2 linked regions of the Arabidopsis thaliana genome follow. The protein of the gene in region 1 binds, or shares a complex with, the protein of each later gene. Each region holds a gene or a part of one and is shown in the gene's direction. Other genes may lie near its edges.

Region 1 (4,393 bases):
AAGCAAACTCTTTAATACAGGATGGACGTCCAGGCTCGATCAAGCTTTGGAGTCAGGGAAGTCGGAAGACACAAGTTGCTCTTCCGGGAAGCGTGCTAGAATAGACGAAAGTTACAGAAACAGCCAAACCACCTTACTAGATTTAAACTTGCCAGCGGAAGCCATTGAGCGGAAATGAACACTTATCCTTCTTCACCTCCCAATAACACCCTTTTTGTCCAAATAAAGTGTGTTACCCGGATATTTATAGCTCTAAACCCAATCCCCTCTGCTTAATTTGTCAGTGACCTTACCTAACCCTCTTCAGTTCTGAAAGAAGGGGTCAAGCATCGTTACTTACAAAATTTCAATCAGTTTCGGAGTTTACATAGGATAATGGTTATAGACTTATAGTGGATCATATTTGAAGCTGCCTATGAACTCAGGCTTCTCTCAGTGCCTCGAGGTGTAAATTTTTAACTAAACGTAGGTGGATCGTACCTAATTCATGGATATGAATCTCTTGTACATATGCGTTATATATTTGAGATGGTATGAGGTTTTTGTTGTGACGGTGAGAGAGTGTCCCGCAATCTGAAAAATTGGCTAACCTTAGTTTTTCACTTTTTCTGGTTGTAATTTTTTTATTGAATGCATCCCCTAAAAAATTTTGTTTGGTGAGATACCTATTGAATCTCTCACTAATATAATTTTATTATTTTTGGTTCACTTTTGTGTCTCTCATCAATATAATGTATTTTTAGTGTTATTTAATAATTTTAATGTAATTTAACTTGAATACTTCTTTTAATGTCTTATTTTAAATTAAAATATTTCTAACTAATATTTTTAAACCATCTCAAACTACATTTTAAAAATATTCATTTTCAGACATATTCATTTTAAACATATACATTTCTCATAGAGAGCTCTGAGAAGCAAGTGATCAAGTGGAAGCAACTCCCACATGGGTGGGTTAAGTGTAACTCAGATGGAGTTTGGAATGCAGAATGCAACAAGTGTGGCATTTGCTGGGTGCTTAGAAACTCCGACAAGAACGTGCTTTGGATGGGTGCAAGGGCTATACCAAAGGCTCAATCCGCCTTGGTTACTGAGGCTGAAGCGTTGCGTTGGGCGGTGTTGTCACTCTCTCGACTCAACTACCGAAAGGTAATCTTTGAATCTGATTCCCAACAATTGGTGTCTATTCTTGTTGATAACGATGATATGCCTACTCTGGACCCTATTATACAAGACATCAAGTTCTTGCTTCAGCATTTTGAGGAAACAAAGTTTGTGTTCATGCATCGTGGAGGCAATGGAGTGGCAGATAGGATAGCAAAGGAATCTCTTTCTCTTGAGAATTATGATCCTAAGTTGTATTCTATAGTGCCAAATTGGGTAAAATCGTTTGTGGAATTAGACAAGTTGTAAAACTCTGTTGTTTAATGATAATTATTGTTGTTGAGCCAAAAAAGGAAAAAACATATTCATTTTCAATTACTTTGTTATCTTTTATAAAAGGAAAAAAGATGGCTAACTACACGAAATATAGAGAATTACGCTGTCATATATACCAAGTATAATATTGTATCTTGAGCTACACGAAGTACATGTATTGCATGACCATATTTATGAACTATATGACGTCATCTGGTTAATATTATGAACATACAATTCCGGTAAACCGATCAGTTGACTTCGGCGTTGACAAACAAAAAAATGCTAACCATAGTTCAAAGAAAAAGAATTGTTACAAAAACGATTCTACGATAATTTTTATAATTTATAATAAATAATAAATCTAGACGGTAAAAAATAATAACTTAAAATTTACGTTTTTTCTGACATAGAAGTCTATATTTTAGTACACAGATTCTTTTATTTTATTTATGTAGAATGATATGTCAGATTTGTCATCTTTGTTAGAGTCCAAAATTGGCCTCTTCCAAATTTCTTATGGTTCTTTTTCATTTTTTCCCCAAATTTAAATAAATTCAATAAAAATTTGTTGATTTTTTGTGGCCGTTGATTAAAACCGGGAAAGCAGCAGAAACAAATCTGAAAATCTGAGTTAAGCCAACCACAAAACAAATCCACTCCAAACACTCCAAATTACTTGTCTCTCTTCTCTTCCCCACCACCACTACCTTACAAAAACCCTAACCCTAATTTCTCCACCCCCAAATTCTTTTCCTCAATCTCTGCGATGGAAGACGAAGAAGGCATCGGGTTAATTTTAGCCAGAGCCACCGAGCTCAGACTCAAGATCAGCGATTGTATCGATAACTCCAGTACCACCGTCAGCGACAACGGCGATGGAAACGAGGATCTTTCTCCCGGAGAAGGAAGAAAAAGCGAGATTATTGGGAATCAAGACAAGGATTTTGACTCAATCAGCTCTGAGGATGTAGATGAAGCAGAAGCTGAACGGCTTTTGCGTATTCGTGATGCTCTTGAAGCTCTTGAGTCTCAGCTTGCTTCTTTACAGGTTTGAACCAAACCCTAAAAATTTCCTCTGCTTCTCATCAAGTTTCTGGCTTTTAGTGTAGTATTGGACATTGAAAGTGTTAGGTTCTGGTTTTAACTGAAATTGAGTCTGAATTTGCTTCAAGTCTGGTCTATAATGTCTGAATTGCTTCTTTACAGGTTTGAACCAAACCCTAAAAAATTCCTCTGCTTCTCATCAAGTTTCTGGCTTTTAGTGTAGTATTGAACATTGAAAGTGTTAGGTTCTGGTTTTAACTGAAACTGAGTCTGAATTTTGCTTCAAGTCTGGTCTATAATGTCTGAATTGCTTCAAGTCTTGGTGGTGGTTAATGTGGGGATGGTTTTTGGTTTGTGGTGAACAGAATCTAAGGCAAAGACAACAATATGAGAAGCAACTGGCTCTCTCTGAGATTGATTACAGTAGGAAAATGTTGCTTGAGAAGCTTAAGGAGTACAAAGGGAAAGATTTTGAAGTGTTACGTGAGACTACGACTTTTGCTGGTGAAAGAGTTGATTATGAGAATGATCTTTTACTTCCTCCTTATCCTGTCCATCCTCCTCTCTCCCTTGGTTTAGATAATAATAATGGTTACCTATCTCACTTACCTTCGAAGAAGAAATCGGATGCGAATGGGTTCGGCTCAGGACATGTGAGGAACGAGGCAGAGGCGAAAAGTCCCAACGGAGGATCTGGAGGTTCGAGTCATGGGGTTATTCGCTTCTTAGGCTCTGTCGCAAAGATCGTGCTTCCAATCATCGGTGTTATCTCTCTATTGTCTGCATCAGGATATGGTCCAGAGATGAGGAAAAGAGGCGCTTCCTTGAACCTTTTTGGACTTCTCCCGCACCGAGCTACCAGAGGGAAGAGAACACCTAACCAATGTCCACCAGGGAAAGTTCTTGTGATTGAAGATGGAGAAGCACGGTGCCTTGTTAAGGAAAGAGTCGAAATACCATTTGACTCTGTTGTAGCGAAACGCGATGTAACTTACGGATACGGTTGAGTTTGAAAGAAATTAAACACCCTCCTCTGTAATGTTCATTGCCTGACATTCAGTGTGTAAAGTTTCAACCTTTTCTTACCTCTTAGATATGAAAGCCACATGGTGCTACATAACTCTCACAAGTTTTGTTCATAGTTGTGCAAATAAATTGGATGAGGGAGAGATTCATTTGAGTAGTATAATCTCTGTTCTGCCAATTTGATCAATAGATTCAGTGTATCCCAACTTATACCACTTGGTGTGGTTGGCCAATACATAAATAAGTAAATTAATGAGATAAAGAGATCTAAAAGACTTTTCTTTAGTGTTTTGACTAATAATTGGTCAAGCCTACCATTACAAACTATGTTCCATTACCAGTACAGAGCACATGGTTTCACTTTTTAACCAAGCAACTTTATCTTAAACTTGCTTATCAAGAACTGTCTCTTCGGTAACACAAAAGGGTCTTTTATCAAAACCTATATATAGGATACTTTTCATAATTGGAGTAAGATCTACAAAACAGAGAGTTGTATACTTTAAATCATTTAGAGGTTGTGAAATATTATGGAGAGTGAAGGAAAGATTGTGTTCACAGAAGAGCAAGAGGCTCTTGTAGTGAAGTCTTGGAGTGTCATGAAGAAAAACTCAGCTGAATTAGGTCTCAAACTCTTCATCAAGTAAGTAATGATCCCATTGATCTCTCTCTATTTTCTTTTTATGTATATAGTCTGAGATATGAACTACTATTTTGAACTGTAGGATCTTTGAGATTGCACCAACAACGAAGAAGATGTTCTCTTTCTTGAGAGACTCACCAATTCCTGCTGAGCAAAATCCAAAGCTCAAGCCTCACGCAATGTCTGTTTTTGTCATGGTAATAATCAATATCAAATAACATGATTTTGCTTATATATTCGAATCAAAGATTGTTGAGT
Region 2 (6,069 bases), on another chromosome or scaffold:
AGAAGATTTATCTTCAGGTTTTCTCTTCGTTCTTATAATTTTATCCTTTTCTTCACTCTGTTAAAATTGCTGGCATCTTCTTGAGAAACTTGTTGCGGATCCAGGTAGTATACCCGATTCTTCGGAAATATGAAGCAGCACCGTCAGCACCTCGTTTGAAATTAGTATCATATTATGATTTAAAATCGCTATTCTCTGTTGAGGATGTTAAACTTTCTCCATGGATGGACGGGATGTAAGTTAGTTACAGATGTACACACAGTTCACTATACCTGCAAACCATACATGTATTAATCAGTAATACTTACATTTCTATTTCAAAGGTGCTTGGCTGAATATCTTCCCCATCTTGAAGAAACACTTGAGAGACAGGTCAGTTAAACTAAATCTTCTTAATTTCCTGAGTACGAGTGCCTTATTTACCTTAATTTCTAGATCCATGAAGCTGTTGCTGCAATTGATTTAAGGAGGAGTTTTATTGAGGCATTAAGTCTTAATCTGGGAAGACCTCTTGAAGCCGATCCTGTAAGCATTTCTTCGCACGCCTTGACATATATTTAGAACTATTTCCGAGCTTCTTAACTTTCTTATTTGTTTTTCTTGCTAGACCTTTTGCCGTAAGGCTACATTCCTTAATGCCTCTGGACAATTTACTTTCATGGTAATTATTCTATCACTATTCAAGCCTTGTTTAAAAAGTTCTATTCAATCTTTGCCAAAGTGGATTTTCATACTTGTCTTCTAGAGAAATCTCAATTTCACAAAAATATGTAGCAGTGGATTATTGGGTTTTTGGCTTTGCTGTAGGTTCATTTCTTCTTTTCAACTCAATTTCCGAAGCAGCAACCAACTCTGATGCTGCAAAGTTGTCAGGTATCAAAACTATTTGTAAACGAACTAAGTAGAAGGCTTCGACTTTCTCTTTATTTATTTAGGTATAAAAATTGACAAGCTTTTTATATGCAGCATTTAAACCAATCGAGTGTGCCAGTGAAATCGAATCTCCTCACTGAGTACCCATGGAGTCCAAGATGGGAAGTGGGACGCATGGCTGAGCGACTGTGGTTAGTCTCTATGGACTCTTTCTTAGATGTCTTATTTAACTAATTCTCCTTCTGAACATTTAAAATTTTACTTTTTTGCAGTGACTTCCTGACCGACGAGGCTGTCAACTTTAAAAAATATTGTAACGAAGCTCTGCTCCAACATTAGTGTATCTATTTCGAAAGTTAGTATTGTCCAAATTTTATGTGACACTCCTCTTGCTATGTAAACTGAAATGGATTACTGTTCTGCATTAAGGAGAATACAATTATAAGCAATTTGTCTTGATTTCAACAAGATTTTGCTTGGCTATAGGATTCATTGGCTCTGTTTGCTTTTACATTTACATGTCATAATAGTTTCGAATTTTACACATTTCAGTTGGATGTTAAGAAAAGAGAGGGAATTGATGGGGTTTTGTGGGTTTAAACTTTAAAGTAGTCAAGAATTAAGTCATTGGTTTACTGTTGCTCTATATGTGTAAAATGAAGGCAACTCCAACGGTTCTTAGGTGGAATAGATTATTTAGACGATTTAACATCATAAAGTCCGTGGCGACTGTAACATCATAGATTGTTTTTTATTTTTTTCAGTAGCTGGTGATGTTTTTTGATTTAACTTATACTACTCAAAATCAAAATTCCATAAACCCTAGACGACCAAACAGTCTCTTCAATATGTAAAACAGAACAAAGTTTTTGTAGTAGCCTAAAAAGACACTCCCATGGAAGCTCTGAGTCACGTCGGCATTGGTCTCTCCCCATTCCAATTATGCCGATTACCACCGGCGACGACAAAGCTCCGACGTAGCCACAACACCTCTACAACTATCTGCTCCGCCAGCAAATGGGCCGACCGTCTTCTCTCCGACTTCAATTTCACCTCCGATTCCTCCTCCTCCTCCTTCGCCACCGCCACCACCACCGCCACTCTCGTCTCTCCGCCACCATCTATTGATCGTCCCGAACGCCACGTCCCCATCCCCATTGATTTCTACCAGGTATTAGGAGCTCAAACACATTTCTTAACCGATGGAATCAGAAGAGCATTCGAAGCTAGGGTTTCGAAACCGCCGCAATTCGGTTTCAGCGACGACGCTTTAATCAGCCGGAGACAGATTCTTCAAGCTGCTTGCGAAACTCTGTCTAATCCTCGGTCTAGAAGAGAGTACAATGAAGGTCTTCTTGATGATGAAGAAGCTACAGTCATCACTGATGTTCCTTGGGATAAGGTAATTTCGATTTCGGAATAATAAAGTTTCTTCGTTTTAATTTCATGAATTGGATAAAGGAAGGAACTTTTATCTAGTGAAGGTTCCTGGTGCTCTCTGTGTATTGCAAGAAGGTGGTGAGACTGAGATAGTTCTTCGGGTTGGTGAGGCTCTGCTTAAGGAGAGGTTGCCTAAGTCGTTTAAGCAAGATGTGGTTTTAGTTATGGCGCTTGCGTTTCTCGATGTCTCGAGGGATGCTATGGCATTGGATCCACCTGATTTTATAACTGGTTATGAGTTTGTTGAGGAAGCTTTGAAGCTTTTACAGGTAGTTTGACTTGCTTTGGTAATTTGACGAGCGTTGGCTTTATAAGAACTTTCTTGATTTGATACTTTGTTATTGAGTCTTGTGTAGGAGGAAGGAGCAAGTAGCCTTGCACCGGATTTACGTGCACAAATTGATGAGACTTTGGAAGAGATCACTCCGCGTTATGTCTTGGAGCTACTTGGCTTACCGCTTGGTGATGATTACGCTGCGAAAAGACTAAATGGTTTAAGCGGTGTGCGGAATATTTTGTGGTCTGTTGGAGGAGGTGGAGCATCAGCTCTTGTTGGGGGTTTGACCCGTGAGAAGTTTATGAATGAGGCGTTTTTACGAATGACAGCTGCTGAGCAGGTATACAGTTTAGATACCTTTTTTTAATTTCTTTAGCATGATATAACTTTAGGTTTCTCATTTTAATGTATGTTGTGTGGTAGGTTGATCTTTTTGTAGCTACCCCAAGCAATATTCCAGCAGAGTCATTTGAAGTTTACGAAGTTGCACTTGCTCTTGTGGCTCAAGCTTTTATTGGTAAGAAGCCACACCTTTTACAGGATGCTGATAAGCAATTCCAGCAACTTCAGCAGGCTAAGGTAATGGCTATGGAGATTCCTGCGATGTTGTATGATACACGGAATAATTGGGAGATAGACTTCGGTCTAGAAAGGGGACTCTGTGCACTGCTTATAGGCAAAGTTGATGAATGCCGTATGTGGTTGGGCTTAGACAGTGAGGATTCACAATATAGGAATCCAGCTATTGTGGAGTTTGTTTTGGAGAATTCAAATCGTGATGACAATGATGATCTCCCTGGACTATGCAAATTGTTGGAAACCTGGTTGGCAGGGGTTGTCTTTCCTAGGTTCAGAGACACCAAAGATAAAAAATTTAAACTCGGGGACTACTATGATGATCCTATGGTTTTGAGTTACTTGGAAAGAGTGGAGGTAGTTCAGGGTTCTCCTTTAGCTGCTGCTGCAGCTATGGCAAGGATTGGAGCCGAGCATGTGAAAGCTAGTGCTATGCAGGCACTGCAGAAAGTTTTTCCTTCCCGCTATACAGATAGAAACTCGGCTGAACCCAAGGATGTGCAAGAGACAGTGTTTAGTGTAGATCCTGTTGGTAACAATGTAGGCCGTGATGGTGAGCCTGGTGTCTTTATTGCAGAAGCTGTAAGACCCTCTGAAAACTTTGAAACTAATGATTATGCAATTCGAGCTGGGGTCTCAGAGAGTAGCGTTGATGAAACTACTGTTGAAATGTCCGTTGCTGATATGTTAAAGGAGGCAAGTGTGAAGATCCTAGCTGCTGGTGTGGCAATTGGACTGATTTCACTGTTCAGCCAGAAGTATTTTCTTAAAAGCAGCTCATCTTTTCAACGCAAGGATATGGTTTCTTCTATGGAATCTGATGTCGCTACCATAGGTATGATTAAATGATGCAATTTTCATATATCTGCATTGCTCAAAATATGCTTGTTTTGTGAGCTAAGAACATAGTTCCCACTTAATACATGTCCCAAAAGTTGTACCAAGATTAACAAGTTGCTGAGTAAATTTCACTAATTATGCTGCTTGAATTTTTTGATCAAACTGTAGACAGAAATGTAAATTTCACTCTCAACATTTCTGTTTAGAATAACGTAGGATTAGAGATTGCCTTAGTGTGGCTTTGTCCAACTTTTCTTTCCTTGATTTTTTTCTTTTCGATTTAGGGTCAGTCAGAGCTGACGATTCAGAAGCACTTCCCAGAATGGATGCTAGGACTGCAGAGAATATAGTATCCAAGTGGCAGAAGATTAAGTCTCTGGCTTTTGGGCCTGATCACCGCATAGAAATGTTACCAGAGGTGAGGGAATAAATCTACAATTCAATCAATTGTGTGAAAACTGTTGGACATGATTATAGTCTGGTGCCTTGTTTGATTCTGTTATTTATAGGTTTTGGATGGGCGAATGCTGAAGATTTGGACTGACAGAGCAGCTGAAACTGCGCAGCTTGGGTTGGTTTATGATTATACACTGTTGAAACTATCTGTTGACAGTGTGACAGTCTCAGCAGATGGAACCCGTGCTCTGGTGGAAGCAACTCTGGAGGAGTCTGCTTGTCTATCTGATTTGGTTCATCCAGAAAACAATGCTACTGATGTCAGAACCTACACAACAAGATACGAAGTTTTCTGGTCCAAGTCAGGGTGGAAAATCACTGAAGGCTCTGTTCTTGCATCATAATATACTCATATGTAGCATGTCTGAGCTTGCGAGATTCTCTTTGTTTTGTAAATTCTCTCTCTAAGTTAGTGTTTATAAATGAACACAAAAAAATTAACGTTCTTGGCACACCCTTTTCCTTGATCTAAACTATAACATAAGGGCTACAATTTTGGATTCTTTCGCAATCAGGTACAAGCAGAACTTGACTTATCTTACATTCAAGCCTTTCACAACTTAACTATCAGTGTTTGGAGACTTCTGTCTTGTTTATGTTTTATAATTGTGCTCTGGTTATCATCTGGTCAAGCGTATAGCAGAGAATGATTTGGTAAATCTCCAGCCAGATGATTTTACGTTTTCGGTTCTAGGTAACAAGCTGAGGCCAAACATTTCCTTCGGCATTCGACTTGGCTCAACAAATCCAAGCAGCTTAGCCACAAGAGAAGCACTTTCTTTTATGTGGTCCATATCTTGGGTGTTGGTCCACAGCTTGTGCGCCACTTGCAGGCTTCTCTGCTTTGAGTTCACCTCCACGCCCCATTTTTGGTAAAGCCCTATTCTTTGGTTCCATGGAAACTTCTTTGGTAATTGTTTGGAAATCCATTCCTTCTCGCGTGTGAGTGCCTTCACTGTTTGCATCCTGATTAGACACCAAAGGAATTGGTTAGCATACTTATGAGTATATGATTGATATTGATGAGACTCGTTAAAAAGGTGTTGCAGAAAAATACCTTGATGTTTCCATGTCATTAGATATCGTCTGCTTCAGAAAAGATAGCCTTCGAAGTTCAACTTCCATATAAACATAGTCTGAAGGATCACCTTTGAAGAGCAAAAAGAAGTAGGTTCTGTGAACCAGTGGTACATTGCATGCTGCCCAAAGCTCAATTATTTTCCTTTGCTGTCTCTCAAAGTCTGAAGAACTGATTGAATATTGTCCATTAGCAGCTACCTGTAGTTTCTCCTGGGAAGCCTCTGTGGAATCTGTTTCCTTAGGTTTTGCTTCTTCTACCTGCATTTTGTGATCATCCAAACTGTTGAGAAACGAAAGAAGTTTTTGTCTCCCCAAGAAAATATTTTTTTTGGCTTACCGAATCACCAACCTGCTCTCTCTGTGACTGATTATTGGTGGCATCTGTGGTTTCTTTATTTATATCCTGAGGATTTGGCAATGCATTCTCGTTTCCTCTAACGCTATCTGCAGGGCTTTCCGGTCTGATCTCCATTCTTTCGGTTTTTGTGGGAGCGTATGGAATCCCATAATCTAGCTCCGGTGTCGAG

The links.
Region 2: the proteins of PDV2 (region 1) and ARC6 are in contact, whole or in part, in a crystal structure (PDB 5GTB), measured with the Arabidopsis thaliana proteins. Residues at the interface, in NP_028242.1 of Arabidopsis thaliana: Glu287 (codon at 3,408), Arg288 (codon at 3,411), Val289 (codon at 3,414), Glu290 (codon at 3,417), Ile291 (codon at 3,420), Pro292 (codon at 3,423), Phe293 (codon at 3,426), Asp294 (codon at 3,429), Ala298 (codon at 3,441), Lys299 (codon at 3,444), Arg300 (codon at 3,447), Asp301 (codon at 3,450), Val302 (codon at 3,453), Thr303 (codon at 3,456), Tyr304 (codon at 3,459), Gly305 (codon at 3,462), Tyr306 (codon at 3,465), Gly307 (codon at 3,468); in NP_199063.1 of Arabidopsis thaliana: Trp686 (codon at 4,365), Gln687 (codon at 4,368), Lys690 (codon at 4,377), Phe694 (codon at 4,389), Arg710 (codon at 4,528), Met711 (codon at 4,531), Ile714 (codon at 4,540), Trp715 (codon at 4,543), Arg718 (codon at 4,552), Glu721 (codon at 4,561), Thr722 (codon at 4,564), Leu725 (codon at 4,573), Leu727 (codon at 4,579), Tyr729 (codon at 4,585), Tyr731 (codon at 4,591), Glu753 (codon at 4,657), Leu756 (codon at 4,666), Glu758 (codon at 4,672), Ala760 (codon at 4,678), Leu762 (codon at 4,684), Asp764 (codon at 4,690), Val766 (codon at 4,696), His767 (codon at 4,699), Asn770 (codon at 4,708), Ala772 (codon at 4,714), Thr773 (codon at 4,717), Asp774 (codon at 4,720), Arg776 (codon at 4,726), Tyr778 (codon at 4,732), Thr780 (codon at 4,738).

What each region holds. Positions count from the first base shown.
Region 1 is NC_003071.7:6,983,152-6,987,544, reverse strand, and holds PDV2 (plastid division2), read left to right. Parts: upstream 1-1,924; 5' UTR 1,925-2,188; coding exon 2,189-2,470; exon of another isoform or gene 2,471-2,553; intron 2,554-2,628; exon of another isoform or gene 2,629-2,798; coding exon of another isoform or gene 2,799-2,831; coding exon 2,832-3,473; 3' UTR 3,474-3,699; downstream 3,700-4,393. Other genes in the region: ARI2 (RING/U-box superfamily protein), read left to right, coding at 21-178; HB1 (hemoglobin 1), read left to right, coding at 4,023-4,135, 4,218-4,332. UniProt on the Arabidopsis thaliana protein: Component of the plastid division machinery consisting in a binary fission accomplished by the simultaneous constriction of the FtsZ ring on the stromal side of the inner envelope membrane, and the ARC5/DRP5B ring on the cytosolic side of the outer envelope membrane.
Region 2 is NC_003076.8:16,983,527-16,989,595, forward strand, and holds ARC6 (Chaperone DnaJ-domain superfamily protein), read left to right. Parts: upstream 1-1,569; 5' UTR 1,570-1,768; coding exon 1,769-2,275; intron 2,276-2,357; coding exon 2,358-2,582; intron 2,583-2,669; coding exon 2,670-2,930; intron 2,931-3,013; coding exon 3,014-4,001; intron 4,002-4,290; coding exon 4,291-4,424; coding exon of another isoform or gene 4,425-4,436; exon of another isoform or gene 4,437-4,515; coding exon 4,516-4,806; 3' UTR 4,807-5,082; downstream 5,083-6,069. Other genes in the region: AT5G42470 (BRCA1-A complex subunit BRE-like protein), read left to right, coding at 1-17, 105-235, 324-372, 436-525, 608-661, 808-873, 967-1,064, 1,146-1,212; AT5G42490 (ATP binding microtubule motor family protein), read right to left, coding at 5,083-5,428, 5,520-5,800, 5,880-6,069. UniProt on the Arabidopsis thaliana protein: Component of the plastid division machinery consisting in a binary fission accomplished by the simultaneous constriction of the FtsZ ring on the stromal side of the inner envelope membrane, and the ARC5 ring on the cytosolic side of the outer envelope membrane.